Linked DNA regions of Struthio camelus. The protein of the gene in region 2 interacts with the protein of the main gene of each other region in a pairwise test. Links are inferred from orthologs where the notes say so. Each region holds a gene or a part of one and is shown on either strand. Other genes may lie near its edges.

Region 1 (7,665 bases), on a different chromosome or scaffold from region 2:
GAGGCTTCCTGGGTCCTTGAGACTTGTACTCTCTCAGATAATCAGATAATACAATGTGTTGACAAATCTATCACTTCATCTACAATATTAGATGGAGCTTTCTACTTCCCATTATTCACGGGGTGTTACCGTGACTCCTCTAATAGTTAGAAAATATTTTATTGTTTCCAGTCTGCAATTATTTCTGGCCAATTTAAACCAACTTGTTGCCATGCCTTGTTAAACTAGTCCTCTCCCTGCTGCTCACGCCTTCTATGTGTTTATAGAGGACAAGCTTACACATTCATTCAAGTTCAAAAGTCAGGCTCTTTCAGTTTCCATAATAAAACAAGTTTTACATTTCCCCATCATCCCTGTTGCTCTACTCCGTCTTCTTCCAGTTTGAATTCCTCTGCTTTGAGCAATTTTGTTAAAACAGTACGTTTTAAGTAGTACGACTTAGGATAAGTACTTCTCATTAAGTGATCTCCAGTTTATAAAGGCAACAGAATCCTTAAAACAAAATCTTACTGTCTGGTTCCAGTTGATGGCAATCCTATTTGCGTAACTGAAGAGGAACACACAGAGGAACACAATGGACAGGAACCACGCGGTCACTGCTACAAACATCACCCATCCCTGCAGCAGTGGCAGTGGAACTTGAGTGGCAGCTACCAAAATCCAGACTATTGTTCCAAACAGCTGCAAGGAAAGCAATACAGGTGACGAGCTTAGAGATAAATTTTATTTGGTCCTTTCCGTCTAAGAACTTAGCCCTTAATATCACACATCAACAAGTCCTTAGGTTACTTTGAGGAACCCAGAGAAAACACTTCAAAAGTACTTGAGGAGTCTAAGTACCATCCTCAGAAGTGATAGGCACTAAGTGGAAGTTAAGATGAAGCTCCACTAAATTCTTAAAAGCTCTTAAAGCAGCCTTGAAAATGGGATTTACAAACTCCGGTTACTCATGCGCTGCTGCTGAAAATTTTACCCTTAGTCTCAATTTGAAGGGAATACAAGAAATGTGAAAACACTGTTGACACACACACACCACAACATATGTAGTATTGATCTATACTATCAATATATATTCTAAAATCAGTGCAACAAGGATGCACATGAGATTTGGATTCAATCTTACGATGTTTAGTTTTGCTAGTCCTAATCAAATGAGATACAGAAAAGAAACTAAATTGCATCTTATTTTTCAATGCATTTGTAATAAACCGCTGAAAGAGAACAGATCAAGTAATAAAGTGAAATGGAAGACCAGAATACAGAATAAAGCAAGTTGTGCATTATGTGGTAATAACTAGAAAAGTACACAGCTTTTTAGAGTTATTGTAACTAGGAGAAGAATTCAGCCCCACAAATTTTGTTTGTAATATATTGATCTCAGTGAATATGTAGTAGGGAGGCTGCACTATGATGGGCTGAAGGAGGATTTACATATTCTAAAGCCTGTCTGTTTAAATCAGTTGTTGGTCTAACAAAGGATATTATCTCTCCCTGCAAATCCTGCCTCTTTATAAAAAAATTATGCCTGAAAAAAATCGTAATTGCCATCTGAAATATGTTCATTTATTATAGAAAAGTTTAACTTCATAATCCAAGTTGCTGTGATATGATAGCTACAATTAATTTCAAAGTAAATTACTACTTTCCAGTTTAAATCCTCTAGATCTACAATTACAGAGTCAGAAGCTATATTTTCAGATTCAAAGAACTTTCTTTGGGATCACGGTTGGAAAAGAGGTATCTTTCAGAAGGCGCCTGCTATAAGACGAACCGGGTCCTCTCTAGCGTTACGTGGCAGCAGTGTATATGTAAAGACACGCTGCTAGTCTTAGTTCAAAATTCCCACGGGGTTAACGTATTAGCCTTCAGCTTATTCTCCAGGGTTGCTTTTTTAGCTGTTACGAAGAGCCAAAGTTTCTCTACTTTCACAGGCCTGCAGGTGCAGGTCTGCTACTCAGAGACCAGACAGCGACGGGCAGCGAGGAAGCAGTGGGCACCGCAGAAAGCATCTGTGCATCCCACTACAGACACTGACTAATTTCAGCACCTGCTGCAGCGCTATTTCCCCTAACATCGCACCCGTCTGCCACAGCTTGGCTGTCAGATGTACGGCAGATTTGCCAACCTAATTAACCTTTTGTCCCTACTGACTTGGGGCCTCGTTTAGCGCCTGGACATGCACGCTGAGCTCTTTGCTCCAGTGAGGCCTGTTGCTGCTTGCATGGTGGGATCTGTCCCACAGGCCGGGACCCACGTCAGTAGGCAGCTCTGACTCCAAGGAAGAAACAAAACAACAAAATCAAAAAAAAAAACCCCGATGAGTTCTGCCAAGGTTTTTCCCCCCTGCTAATTAGGGCTACATTTCCGCCTGGGCTCATCATACTCAGCCCCAGCTCAGGGGACCTCGGTCCCGTTGAAACGAGCAGGGTCTTACACGCGGAGTTAAAGCCACCCGCAGGAGTTTCCACAGGACGCAGGCGAAAACCAGCCCAGCTTTTTCACTGAGGATTTTTGGCTCGGGCGTTTCAGGGCTTCTTAGGGGATCAAAGTCCTCACCAGCTTCAACTACCCATATAAACTCTTATTTCAGACGGTCTCCCGGGCCGGGCCGCCGCCGGCCCCCCCACCCCCGCTCGCAGCCACCTGCGGCCGGGCCCGAGGCGAGCAAAGAGGCGGCGGCAGGACGGAGAGACGCGGGCCCGGCTCCAGCCGCCGCCCGCCGCGCCTCTCCCCTCCCGCTCACAAAATGGCAGGTGAGGCCGCGGGGGAGGGGGGGAGCGCGGCAGCCGCTCACTCACGATCTCCAGGAAGATGAAGGCCCCCGAGTAGGTGCGCAGGATGTCCAGGCCGGAGGGCAGCGTGACCCGGGGCGGCGGGAAGTAGGCAACGGGGTTGGGGGGCGGCGGCATGGACGAGCCCGCTCTCGGCAACATGTTGCTGTTGCCGCCGCCGCTGCTGCCGCCGCTGCCGCGCGCGGCCAGGTGGACGCGGAGGAGGCGGAGGAGGGAGCAGGTGCGGGGGAGCGGGCGGGAGCGAGCGCACCGCCCCGGCCACCTCCCCCCGGCCCGCCCCGCGCCGCCGCGCCCTGCCGAGGTGCCGGGGCAGGGCCGCCGCCGCCGCCGCCGCCGGCCCTGCGCGGGGGGCGAGTGCGGGGCGGGGCGGCCGTGCGGGGCAGGGCGCGCGAGGGCGAGGCGCTGCGCCCCGGCTCGCCTGCGGGCGGCCTGGGGGGCTCGCTGGCGGGCGGGCGGGCTGGCGGGCGGGCTGGAGGGGCTTCGCTGGCGGACCGACGGGCTGACGGGCGGATGGGCTGGCTGACTTCAAGGGCTCCCTGACAGAGTGACTGGGGGGTTCCCTGGAGGGCTGACGGACTGGCTGACGGGCGGGGGGTTCAGTGGCTGGTGGTGACACTGACGAACTGGGGATTTGGTGACTGGGGGTGTCGCTGACTGCCTGGCTGGCGGGCTGGGGGTTTGGTGACTGGGGGTGTCGCTGACTGCCTGGCTGGCGGGCTGGGGTTTGGTGACTGGGGGTGTCGCTGACTGCCTGGCTGGCGGGCTGGGGGTTTGGTGACTGGGGGTGTCGCTGACTGCCTGGCTGGCGGGCTGGTGTTTGGTGACTGGGGGTGTCGCTGACTGCCTGGCTGGCGGGCTGGGGGTTTGGTGACTGGGGGTGTCGCTGACAGACTGGCTGGCGGGCCGGGGGTTTGGTGGCTGGCGGCGTCACTGAAGAACTGGGGGTGTCGCTGACTGGGGGTGTCGCTGACAGACTGGCTGGCGGGCCGGGGGTTTGGTGACTGGGGGTGTCGCTGACGGACTGGCTGACGGGCTGGGGGTTCGGTGACTGGGGGTGTCGCTGACGAACTGGGGGTTCGCTGACTGGGGGTGTCGCTGACAGACTGGCTGGCGGGCCGGGGGTTTGGTGACTGGGGGTGTCGCTGACGGACTGGCTGACGGGCTGGGGGTTCGGTGACTGGGGGTGTCGCTGACGAACTGGGGGTTCGCTGACTGGGGGTGTCGCTGACAGACTGGCTGGCGGGCCGGGGGTTTGGTGACTGGGGGTGTCGCTGACTGCCTGGCTGGCGGGCTGGGGTTTGGTGACTGGGGGTGTCGCTGACTGCCTGGCTGGCGGGCCGGGGGTTTGGTGGCTGGCGGCGTCACTGAAGAACTGGGGGTGTCGCTGACTGGGGGTGTCGCTGACAGACTGGCGGGCCGGGGGTTTGGTGACTGGGGGTGTCGCTGACGAACTGGGGGTTCGCTGACTGGGGGTGTCGCTGACAGACTGGCTGGCGGGCCGGGGGTTTGGTGACTGGGGGTGTCGCTGACAGACTGGCTGACGGACTGGGGATTCGGTGACTGGCGGCGTCACTGACGAACTGGGGGTTCGCTGACTGGGGGTGTCGCTGACAGACTGGCTGGCGGGCTGGGGGTTTGGTGACTGGGGGTGTCGCTGACGGACTGGCTGACGGGCTGGGGGTTCGGTGGCTGGGGGTGTCGCTGATGGACTGGCTGACGGGTTCGGTGGCTGAGGGTGTCGCTGACAGACTGGCTGACGGGCTGGGGGTTCGGTGACTGGGGGTGTCACTGACGGACTGGCTGACGGGTTCGGTGGCTGAGGGTGTCGCTGACGGACTGACTGACAGGATGGGGGGGGTCTCACTGATTGACGGACTACCTGACAGACCTGACAGACTGCCTGACAGACCGCGTGCTGCTGTAGGTTTGCCCCCAGCGAGGTTGTTGCCTCGCGTGCCTTAGGACAGGGTGCAGCGACCTGCTGTACGCGCGTGTACCTACGTCCAGGGCGCGCACGGAGAGCTGTGGTGGACCGCTGCAACGCCGCCAGCGTTCGGGGTGTTGCGGGGCCGGCGCAGGGGCTGTCACCCGGCGCCGCGGCGCCCGGCGGTGTGTGGCGTCGGGCCTGCCCCGCTCCCCTTGGAAGGGGGTGTGTTACCAGCCGGTGGGTTTCGGTTTTGGTGGGGGGGTGGTCTCGTGGTGGAACTGGGTCGCGAAACTGCTCATTCGGAAGTCCGGAGTCGGATCCAGCCAGTTTGACGGAGTTATTTCCTAACGTCACTTTGCAAAGGGTTGTTGTTTACCTTCTGGTAAAAGATATTTGAGGCCTGAGAGTTAGGAGCGTTGTTTTTAGTTTTTTGGTTTTAGAAGCCTACTTCTAACAAACAAAACTGTGTCTTTCACGCTTACCGGGGGAGGAGTTGAGGTTTTCAGGAAAAAAAATAAAAAAAAAAAAATAGAATACCATAAACCGGTGGAAGTTGCCAAGACAGTGTAATTTTGGAAAAAGATAGCAATTTCCTTTGATTTCTTTATGCCCTACAGTAGGTTCCACGTTCAAAATACTGAACACGTTTCATGTGTATCCACTTTTTTTAATCAGCATTGAACAGTGCATAGCTACATAAATTTCAGTAGTGGAAAATGTTTATTTGAGGTAAACATTTTGGATACCTAGGGGTAAAGAAAGGTGTGTGTTCGTCAGACCACTTACAATGTATTCTGTCATCTTTCTTGGTATAAGTAACTTGCAGAGGAAAGATATAGCCATCATCAAGCGTTTTTGTTATTCCTCTCTGGTGGGTTAGGAGAGGTGCTTTGGGGACTGCAGGGAGTTGTCTCACTGGGATGCCCAAGTACTACTTCATCCAGTACTATCCCATATAATGTTTTGTAAAAGGGACTAAAATTCCTTCCAGGTGTTTCTCCTCGACATATTCAGCTGTGATTTTTAAGATCAGGTTTCTAAGAGGGTTTCATGCAACTGTAGTTACTCTGGAGGCTGAACCAGCTAGGCCGCTAACATTGTATTCTTTTATTTTTAGATACATGGCACAGTTTTGCTTCTGAGATGACTAGAAACACCTTGGTCTGAGATGCCTGTCTTCCCCGCCCCAGTTCAAAATCTAGTTGAAGCAGTCAGCTCCTCTCAGCTATGCTCAGAGCACACCTAGTACTGCAGTGGGATCGGGATACTTCTAAAATGCGGTAATAGCAACACAGTTTTTAAATCGTGACTGCCAGAAGAGGAAGAAGCAACAAGTCCTACTCATTCTTATGCCTTCTCTAGGCCCATTCCTTTTTTCATGTTGCACAACTTCAGGAATGGGAGAAGGGAATACCTTTCCTCTCCTCACCCCCATGCCCTTTGCAGCTGGATGCCTCCTGCACCCCTAAGAAGTGGGAGATGTGAGACTGAATCCATGAGGCTAAGGAAGACACTTGAGCCTAGCCTCTTCGCTTTTCTGAGTGCTTTAACCGGTTGGTTATCAGATAAGAAACGGATGCCTCTTATTCCTCCTCTAGACACATTTTAGGAGTGAGCACTGAGTTCCCGTCATTTATCTTCAGGGGAGGATTCCAGGCTCTGGAGGCACCTACAGCTCCTGACTGAGGTGTGTTTTGGAGGGGAATGAGATTCAGACTTGTGTCCAGTTGGTTAGCTGTAGGTTCTTGGGACTGCGTTCTAGAGGGCCTGATGTCCAATGAACTTTATGATCTGGCCCTGAATCTGTTGTGAATGCCCTGCACTGGGAGAAATCTGAGTGGGTGGAAAACTGGGTGGATCAGTTTATGGTTTGGAACGCAGAGCGTGATTATCCTTATCTTATTCGAGGGAAGTTCAAATAGCACTTGGTCATAAACATTTCCAGTTTTATTATCCAGCTACATAACTAATCTGCATGAACTCCATCAGCAGTGGATTTTCCTGGTGATTGCAGACCATGTGCAGTTTTTTTTCTTTTTGCTTGTAACTGCCATTCATTTTAACCTGCACAATCCTTTAACACTGATTTTTCTGGAATTTGAGTAGGTTTTCATAGCAAAGTCTAGATTTTACTGTTCAGGTGTATTTCTACACAAATGGCCCTAAAGCAGATTTATGGCAATACTGTTTCCTAAATCCTAGCCATTTCAATTAAAGTAGCTAAGTTATTTTTACTAGGTCTGGGCAGGAAGTGTTACAATACCATATGTGATTGTTTATCTACAGATTCTGATACAGTTTCAATCTTTAAAAACCTGAATTCTTTAAGAGGTTAGAATCAGGACTGCGTTTTTAAGTTGCCATGGCATGAGTGCGTGTTTGTGTTGGATAGCTTGGTTAATAGCATTTTTATGTAAATAATTGCGTCTTGGCATCTCACAGAATAAAATAATGATGCTGCTTCAGGTCTGCCTGCCTGTAGAGTCAAAAAGTAGACAGAAGTATATTTATTCATAGTACATAAGAAGGTCTATCTACACAACCAAAGGGCTAAAAACTTCTTTTAATTAAAATATTTTATAAATAAATTCTAAACTCTTCCCCTTGGTTTTCTTCAAGTGCATATTAAAGCCTAAACTAAAGTTGGGATTGTCACAGAACTGCAAAATCAGTTGCTGTCATTTTTAGATGATAAGAAGTGTCCGCAAGAAGAGGAGATACAAGTGGAATAAATTAAAATTCCAATATTTAAAAACTCCAAATATATGCAAGTATATATTGCATGTCAGTAGCTAGTACAGTGAAAACACTAGTAGAATGGGACTTTGTTTACAAGTCTTATAGATTGTTGATAGAGAGTGAGTAATTTTTTTCAAAATTTAGAGATAATCCTTGGGGGATATATGAGTGAGGAAGTTAAATGAATAATCTACAATACACAAAAGC
Region 2 (7,239 bases):
AGAGCCTAAAGGATGTGGAGAGGCCCATGGGAGCAGAGATGCTGCCAGTGCACAAAAGCCACCAATAGCTGAAAGCAAGGGGATAAACCAAGGGAAGGATGGCACTGTGCGGGCCTGGCACTGATGGCCGCGGACGGAAAGGGCTTTTGGGCTGACCTCCTACAGCTGCAAGAGCCAGGCATTGCCAGTCTGAAACATCATGGCTCCATCTAAAGGAGTAGCTGTCAGCACCCAGCATGGGCACTGCATCTCCCTGCCCCGCGGGGTGGCAGGGACCTCAGGCTACGGTTGCTGGCACTCCTTGGGGCCGCCTGTGCCATCTCCAGCAGCCTTGCCAGCCAGCCACGCTGCAGTGCTGTGTTTCCCAGCCAAAAAGACTTAAAATGGAGACTGGGGGAGAAGTAAATAGCACTGGGCCCTCCCATCGGCCCCCAATGCAAAAGATAGGGTCTGTGGCTAAGGTGGCAGCTGCTGCCACCCCATTAGTGGCCCTGGGCAATGCTGGTGGGTTCAGAGAGCTTGTAACGGAGCCTGGAGAGGAAAGGGCAACCCAGACACACTGCGAGTGGGAGGGAGGCAGTGAGATCCCGCAGACAGGGCACAGCCAGCCTGGGTGCTGGTTGGGGACCCCTCTCTTGGGTGCCTGGAGCGGGTGGTGGGTGCCCTGGCAGGCCTGAGCCCACTTCTCGAAATGCAGCAGGGGGAGCATGGAAGCACTCCGAAGGGGGAGCCTCATGCACGCGTAGCACTGTGAGATGCAGCATCTGCCACCAAGAGGTTTGGGACATTGAGAGGTCCTGGCTGTGTGGCTTGGGCATCTCTGCAGCCTGGCACCGTGACACACCAGGTGCACCCTAATGCAACCATGGGGCACGAGCGATCCTGTCCCATGCCGAGGCAACATAGCTGGGAAAGCATCCTTTCCCCCCACAGCTTGACCTCTGAGAGCAGGCAGCACCCACTGTCTGGGTATGCTCTCACCCCCCACAGACTCGCATCTGCCCCTGCTCTGCCTTCCCAACGCTGTGCCACCATTTCCTGGGCAGAGTAGGAACCACCTCCTCCAAAATCCCAAATCAATCCCAAATAGAGCACGGCACCAGCCACCTTCCATGCTAAGAGGACGTCAAAGCAAGAAACTCTCTGCACCCTCGTAGGCCATTGCAAGCAACAATTTAAGCCTGCAGCTGCATCCCAGGCTCTCACAGTATGTTAGCTTGAGCCCTTGCAAACATCCAGCCCTGTGCCTGCATCCTGCAAGGATAGGCTCTAACTGGGTGCCAGAAAAGGAAGAAAAACTTCCTTCCAAAGGGGAAAGGAAACGGCTCCCAGCGGGAGGGGGAGAAGGGCCGAGCAGAGACATAGGAGCTGCACGCAGGACCCCACTGTGCCCAGCGACACACAGACCCCCAGACAGGGCCACTGCAGCTGTCCCTGCGGGCTGTGCTGTGGCATCAGCCCACCGGTGCTCTGCCCTGACATGGTCCTGGCATCGCACACGCAGATGTGAGTGGAAATGGCCACGCTGGCTCCCCCTCCCCAGGGAGCTGCAGCCGAGCGGTGCCTACTGGAGTAGAAGCGGCTTACGGCAGGGAAATGCATTACTGTTATTAACATTATTATTAATAACAGCACACACAGCCAGCTGCGAAAGCACGTGTGGGGAAGTCAGCTGTGGCACTTCAGGGCGCCCAGCTCTGCTGGCCTCAACTCCCACGGCTGCCTCTCACTTACCAGGGCTGCGACTATCAGCAACAGCCCCGTGCAAGCGGCACAGGGAGGAAAGGACCTCGGCGAGCATCGGTGAGAGCTCAGGGCATTTTACAACTGCGATGAGATGCCAGGGAGCCCAAGGGTTGCGCTGGCAGAGACGTGAGACCCCACTAGGCTGGGAGATGAGGCCATGTCGATGCAGGGGGGGAAGCCAAAGGCGATGCTGGGCCTGGCGCTTTCGGGGCTCTGTGTGAAGATGCCGGCTGTCTCGGCAGTGGCTGTTGCTACGAGCAACCTCCTCCCCAGCCCTGCTCCTCAGGGCACCAGGAAGGAAACAACACAGCAGCTAGACACCCCAGGGAGGCTCGCGAACAGCAGCAGATGCTGCCTGGCCCCACGCGGGCCGGAGGCTGCACCGAAGGGATGCTCAGCGGCCCCATGCACACCCAGCACCCTCCCCCAACATGCCATGCTGGCTGCCCAGCAGAAAGACCCCAGCCCGCGGGACCCCCGGCACCAGGAGGCTGGTGACACAGTCCCAGCCTGGTCCCTGCCATTGGCAGCCACCAAGCCGGGCTTCCCCAGCTGCAGCCCTCCTCCTCGCCAGCCTTCCCCCAAAACATCCTCCCTCCAAACAGCCTTCTCATGGTGGGGAGAGGCAGGTGGGGGTCCCTGCAGTCCCAGCTCGCTGGCAGGGATCAAAGGACTCTTTGCACCCCGGGCATCGCGACCCCCCCCATCTTGCTTACGCCAGAGTTAATCTCTCCCCAGCCCACGAGGCTCCTCCTCAGCTTGGGGGCAAAGCCCAGCACCCCGCAGCCCTGGGCACCCAGCTCCTGGAGCACCTGACCACCGTGTCGTGCCGTCCGCCGGAGCAGGCCACTGCATGTCCATCTGGCACAGCGGGTGCGCACGGCCCCCGAGACAGCGCTCCAGAGCCCCCCAGGACAGCGAGGGGGAGGAGGAGACGGTGTAAGTTACCTGCGTCACTCAGGGCACATCTGCGGCCTCCCGGAGGGACGGCCGCTGGCCCCCGTGACCCCCGTGGCCCCCGACATCATGCAGGCCCCCGAGGCGAGCGGCGGCAGGGGGACCCGCTCACAGCAGGTGCTGTTCAGGGATGGAAAAGCTGCCAGCCGTGATTCAGGGAGGGGACCGCAGCAGACACCCCATGCACGGCCCAGCTCTGGAGGGGAGGAGAGAGGGGAAAAGTGGCGGCAGCAAAGCGGAGCCACAGGGCTACCCCAAGAACGGCACGAACCGAAGCAAGAGCGTGACCCCCAACACAGCTCAAAGTGAAGCCATAGCACAGCCCCAAAGCCTGCAAAGTCCAGCAAGAGCTCAGCCCCCCCAAACTGCAAAGTGAAGCAATAGCGTGACACCCCCCCCCCCCCCCCCCCATAGCACAGAGCGAAGCAGCCGCTCACCCCCGAGCCTGCGGAGCCGCAGCGGAGCCGCGGCCGCGCCCCGAGGTCCTGCCGGGCTTAAACCCCCGCTGCGGCCGAGCGGCAGGTGGAAGCGGGGCGCAACGCCCGGGCCAAACCGGGGCCGCGCCGTACCTGTCAGCAGCTCTATCTTGTGCCGCAGCACCTTCATGCCGGGGCGGCGGGTCCCGAGGCCGCCGGCGGGCGGGGGGGCGCGGCGGGCCCCGGCGCGGGAGAGCGAGCGGAGCCGGAGCCGGAGCCGGAGCCGGAGCCGGAGCGAGGCGCGCGGGGCGGCGCAGGGGCGAGGCTGGGCACGGTCCCCGCGCCGGGCCGGTTCCTCCCCTCACCGGGCCCGGAGGGAGGGGACGGCGCCGGGAACGGGGCCGGGCCGGGGGGCTCCGGGGGGACAACGGTCCGCGCCGCGCCACGCCCGCCTGGGCCGGGGGGAGCGATTTACCGGAGGATGCCGTGCTGCCGGGGGGAGCACATCGCCCCGCGAGGCACCGGGGGGCTGTGCAACCGGCGGCCCCAGGAGCAAGGGGTCTGGGGCCCCTGAGAGCAAGGATAGCGATGGCCAAGGTGCCTGGAGGTCCCTGGGAGCATAGGACAGTGTTGGTCAATGCACCTGGGGGGGGAGGGGACAAGGGGAACTTGTGCAGCTGGCGCCCCTGGAGCAGGGCCCTGATGCCCAAGGGGCCGAGGGGGGGTCTCATGGAGGGGGACAGTGATGCCTGAGAGGTCTAGGGGGAGACAGGAGTGGAATCTGTGGCTGGGACAGCAGTGGCCCCATACACATGGATGCTGGAAGTCAAGGCGGTGGCAGCTCTTTGGGGTGGAGCAAGAGGTTGCGAGGTAGCTATTTGGGTCAGGCAAAGCCAGGGGCTTGGAACAGTGCCGTGGGCCTGGAGAGCATTGGAAAGGGCCCACAGTGGCAAAGATGCAGGACTCCCTCCTTCTGCACAGGGCACGAAGGCCGTTGCTGCTCCACTCTGCTTGTGCTGGCTGGGCTGTGATCCTGCCCCATTGGGGCCACAAGCTCTGTGGGGCAGCTGGTACATGGAGGTTCACCCACCACCCTTTCCAAGGTGCTCAGCTTTCTAGAAGAGCCAGGGGCTCCCACAATGGCAGGGTATAAAGCAGAGCTGTGTCCTGAATCAGGAGAGCGGGTCCAGCAAAGATGGATGCCCCAACCTGCCCAGAGTGCTCATCCCTGTCATCCTCAGCCGTGAGGAATTGAGCTGGACCAAGCCAGCCAAGCCAAACCTGCCTATTTTCCCTCCTATGTAGCTATTTGGTGAGATTTTAATGTGCTTTTCCACAATTAAGAACATAAGAGCCCCAGGTTACTTGAGCTAACTGTACAGGACATCTCATTCAAAACCCCAAATTGGCCCTCTCTAAAACACTCCCCCCCCCGCAATCACTGAGGATCCTTAAACCTCCCCTCAGTGGTCTCAGTTCCCTATCAAACCCAGCCCCACGCTGGGCTCACATGGGAGGACTCAGGGGTCCTGCTGCAGATTGTTCCATGGGCTTCGGACCATGGACTGACCTGGTGTCCAGGGTAGCACTCGCTCCTATCCCCTATTATACATTTTCCCCAGGAATTTCCAGGTAAAACATTTCATGTCTCCATTACAAATAAGGTGTGCATGAGCCAGGGAATGACCTTGATTTATCCTGGATTTGAGTGCTATTTACTTGTCAGCACAGGAAAGTCAAAGTTTCCTGTAGGATGAGTGAGGTTCAGGTTCTCGTGCACCAGAAGAGGTCCATGTGAGATGTTGCAGGAGGATCATGATTTTGGTGCTGGGACCTTGGAGAGAACCTCTGCCCCAGAGGTCCTGGGGGACTGGCAGGCAGCAGGACCAGGCTGATGCTGGAGAGGGATTTCTTGGTGGTCCCTGTTACTATCAACTAAGGGCCTCTGGAGCAGTGCTAGCATCTTCAGAGGGTCAATGCAGGGGATCATTTCTAGCTTTGTTAGCACCACCTTCAATTGGAGATCTCAGTTTGCCCTCAACCCTAAAGTCCCAGGATGCGGCAGATGCCCAAGGACTGCTTTGGCAACTATATCAAGTCCGGTGTCCTAGACATCAGCCTCATCTCCTCATGGCTGGCCACAGCAGCCAGTGCATCTATTTACTTCATGACACCTTTCAGTTATAGGCATGTCTCCTGGCTGCAGGCAGTGAACAGCTCATCCCACAAGCTCCTGCTAAGGGGCTGGGAAGATACACGCTGCTGATACGGGCACTAATTTCCATTCCTGGTACATCTGTTTTAACAGCTTGTCCTTGGCTTTTTGGACGGCAATCAGTTTTGAGCTGATTTCAGCCTCTCCCATTGAGTCACCCATAGCTCAGCATCCCGGGCTGCATTCACCTTCTCACCTATGAGGCAGAAAAAAACTGGGAGGGAACACAAGGACCATTTAACCCCTCAGCTAGGAGCCAGCCAAGTGCATTGCTCTTGTGGAGGTCAGATCTTCCCTACCTTCAGAGCTGTGTTTCACCCCGTCTCCAAGTCCAACAGCCAAGGGGTTCCTCTGAACCAGTCAGGGTCAGCTTTGGCTTGTCCTCACCCAGTGCAAATCTAAACGTACTCCTCCGATTGCCATGGCTTTGTACCAGAATAGATGGTTTTCATACTGAGGATTTATCCTGTCTGCATCAAGTCCAACATTATCCAATAACAGCTTTTAGATGGCTACCTTGTCAAAGGAGCCAACCATGTGGCCGAAATAATTGCACAATTAATTAGGCCTGGGAAGAGCACAAGCTCTCCACGCATTAAGCTGGAGACAGTGGAGCATAAACCCATGTGAGAGTTCAGAAACCACCTGCTGATGCAGAGCAGCTTGCACCCTGAACTGTGTGTTTAAAGGGAAGCGAGTTTTACAGCATGGATTTTTCCACATTGTTTCGCATTGTGCTTTTAATACAGGTCAACGTGGCATTTTCTACATGCATGGCTTTGCACTGTGCTTTTAGCTCAGCCATGCGACACTAAACTAATTGGACAAAGGTCTCGCTCCAGAGACAGCCTAAGGGAGGTCACAGTCCTGAATGAGGGCTCCCCAGACCTGGCAGGGGGTTAGAAGATGCCACTTGTAGACCTGTGACACTCGCCAACATTCACACCCTCATTGCCAGACACTGCCTTGGCACCCACGCTTCCCAGGGTGTTGGTGGTCTGGCAGGGCCCCAAGGAGCCCTTTGCCTGGAGCTGTTGCTGCCAGCCCAAATGCTGAAGTTGGGCTGCAGCTGTTTGAGCAGTATCCTGCAAGCTCCCTGCAGAGTCCAAGCAGCCCAGGGACACCTTGGACTTGCAGCAAGTGGGCTGCAGCGTGCCGGGCATCTGCCTTGGCCGCAGCGGGATGGGAAGCAGGGAGGTGGGAGAAGGTGCCAGATGCTACGAGGTGAGTCAAGCCTCAGTCATAAGACCGACCACGCTCCTTCTACTCATCAGCGTAGGAAAGGTGGCAAGAAACACGGTGTCACTTGCTAGATCCGAGCCTCTGCCCTGCCTCTCCAGGCTGGCAGGTTAGAGCGGAGGGTGCAGCCAGCAGGCAAAGGCAGGGCCATTAACTCTCTCATGCCTGGGTGAGCCTCCATCCTCCTCCCACAGTGAGCAGAGGGGGCCGAGCCAGATGGCATGCAGCAGGAGATGCTATTTTAAGCCCCCCAGTTGTGATCTGGACCCCTCTGCCCTGGCTGCCTGGTGTCTTTTCCAAGGACACACCCTGGCCGACATCATTTCGCAGCCCCCTCCTTCCCCAATGCATCGGTTTACTACACCACAGACAGAGCAGAGTAATTTTCCATGGCCCCGCCAATGCCAGCGAAGGCGCAGGGAGCATGGAAAGGGCTCTCTTCATTGCAAAAGCAGCAGCTCCCGTCTGTCCCATGGCCTGAGTGGCTCTGAGTCATGGCTCTGTAGCAGGCACTTGCTGCCGTGTCCAGAATGGTGCAGACAGCGCTGATCCGAGTGCACGGGCCTGGGTCAGACTTGGAGTGAGCTGCTCTGACCCTGATGTGGGGCTGACAGGGGCTACAGTTTTCCCCTGAAGCCCAGGGGTTTAGTGCAGGAGTGGGGGTGG

The links. The genes of interacting proteins can lie anywhere in the genome.
Region 1: the proteins of NDRG4 (region 2) and MAL2 interact in binary tests that used the Homo sapiens proteins (3 or more experiments, as listed by UniProt). The two-hybrid records come from large-scale screens. The link is inferred for Struthio camelus from reciprocal best matches to the Homo sapiens genes NDRG4 and MAL2.

Annotation. Positions count from the first base shown.
Region 1 is NC_090943.1:158,384,833-158,392,497, reverse strand, and holds the start of MAL2 (protein MAL2), read right to left. Parts: upstream 3,072-7,665; 5' UTR 2,934-3,071; coding exon 2,799-2,933; intron 682-2,798; coding exon 511-681; intron 1-510. UniProt on the Homo sapiens protein: Member of the machinery of polarized transport. Required for the indirect transcytotic route at the step of the egress of the transcytosing cargo from perinuclear endosomes in order for it to travel to the apical surface via a raft-dependent pathway.
Region 2 is NC_090951.1:30,455,494-30,462,732, reverse strand, and holds the start of NDRG4 (protein NDRG4), read right to left. Parts: upstream 3,376-7,239; 5' UTR 3,310-3,375; coding exon 3,273-3,309; intron 1-3,272. UniProt on the Homo sapiens protein: Contributes to the maintenance of intracerebral BDNF levels within the normal range, which is necessary for the preservation of spatial learning and the resistance to neuronal cell death caused by ischemic stress.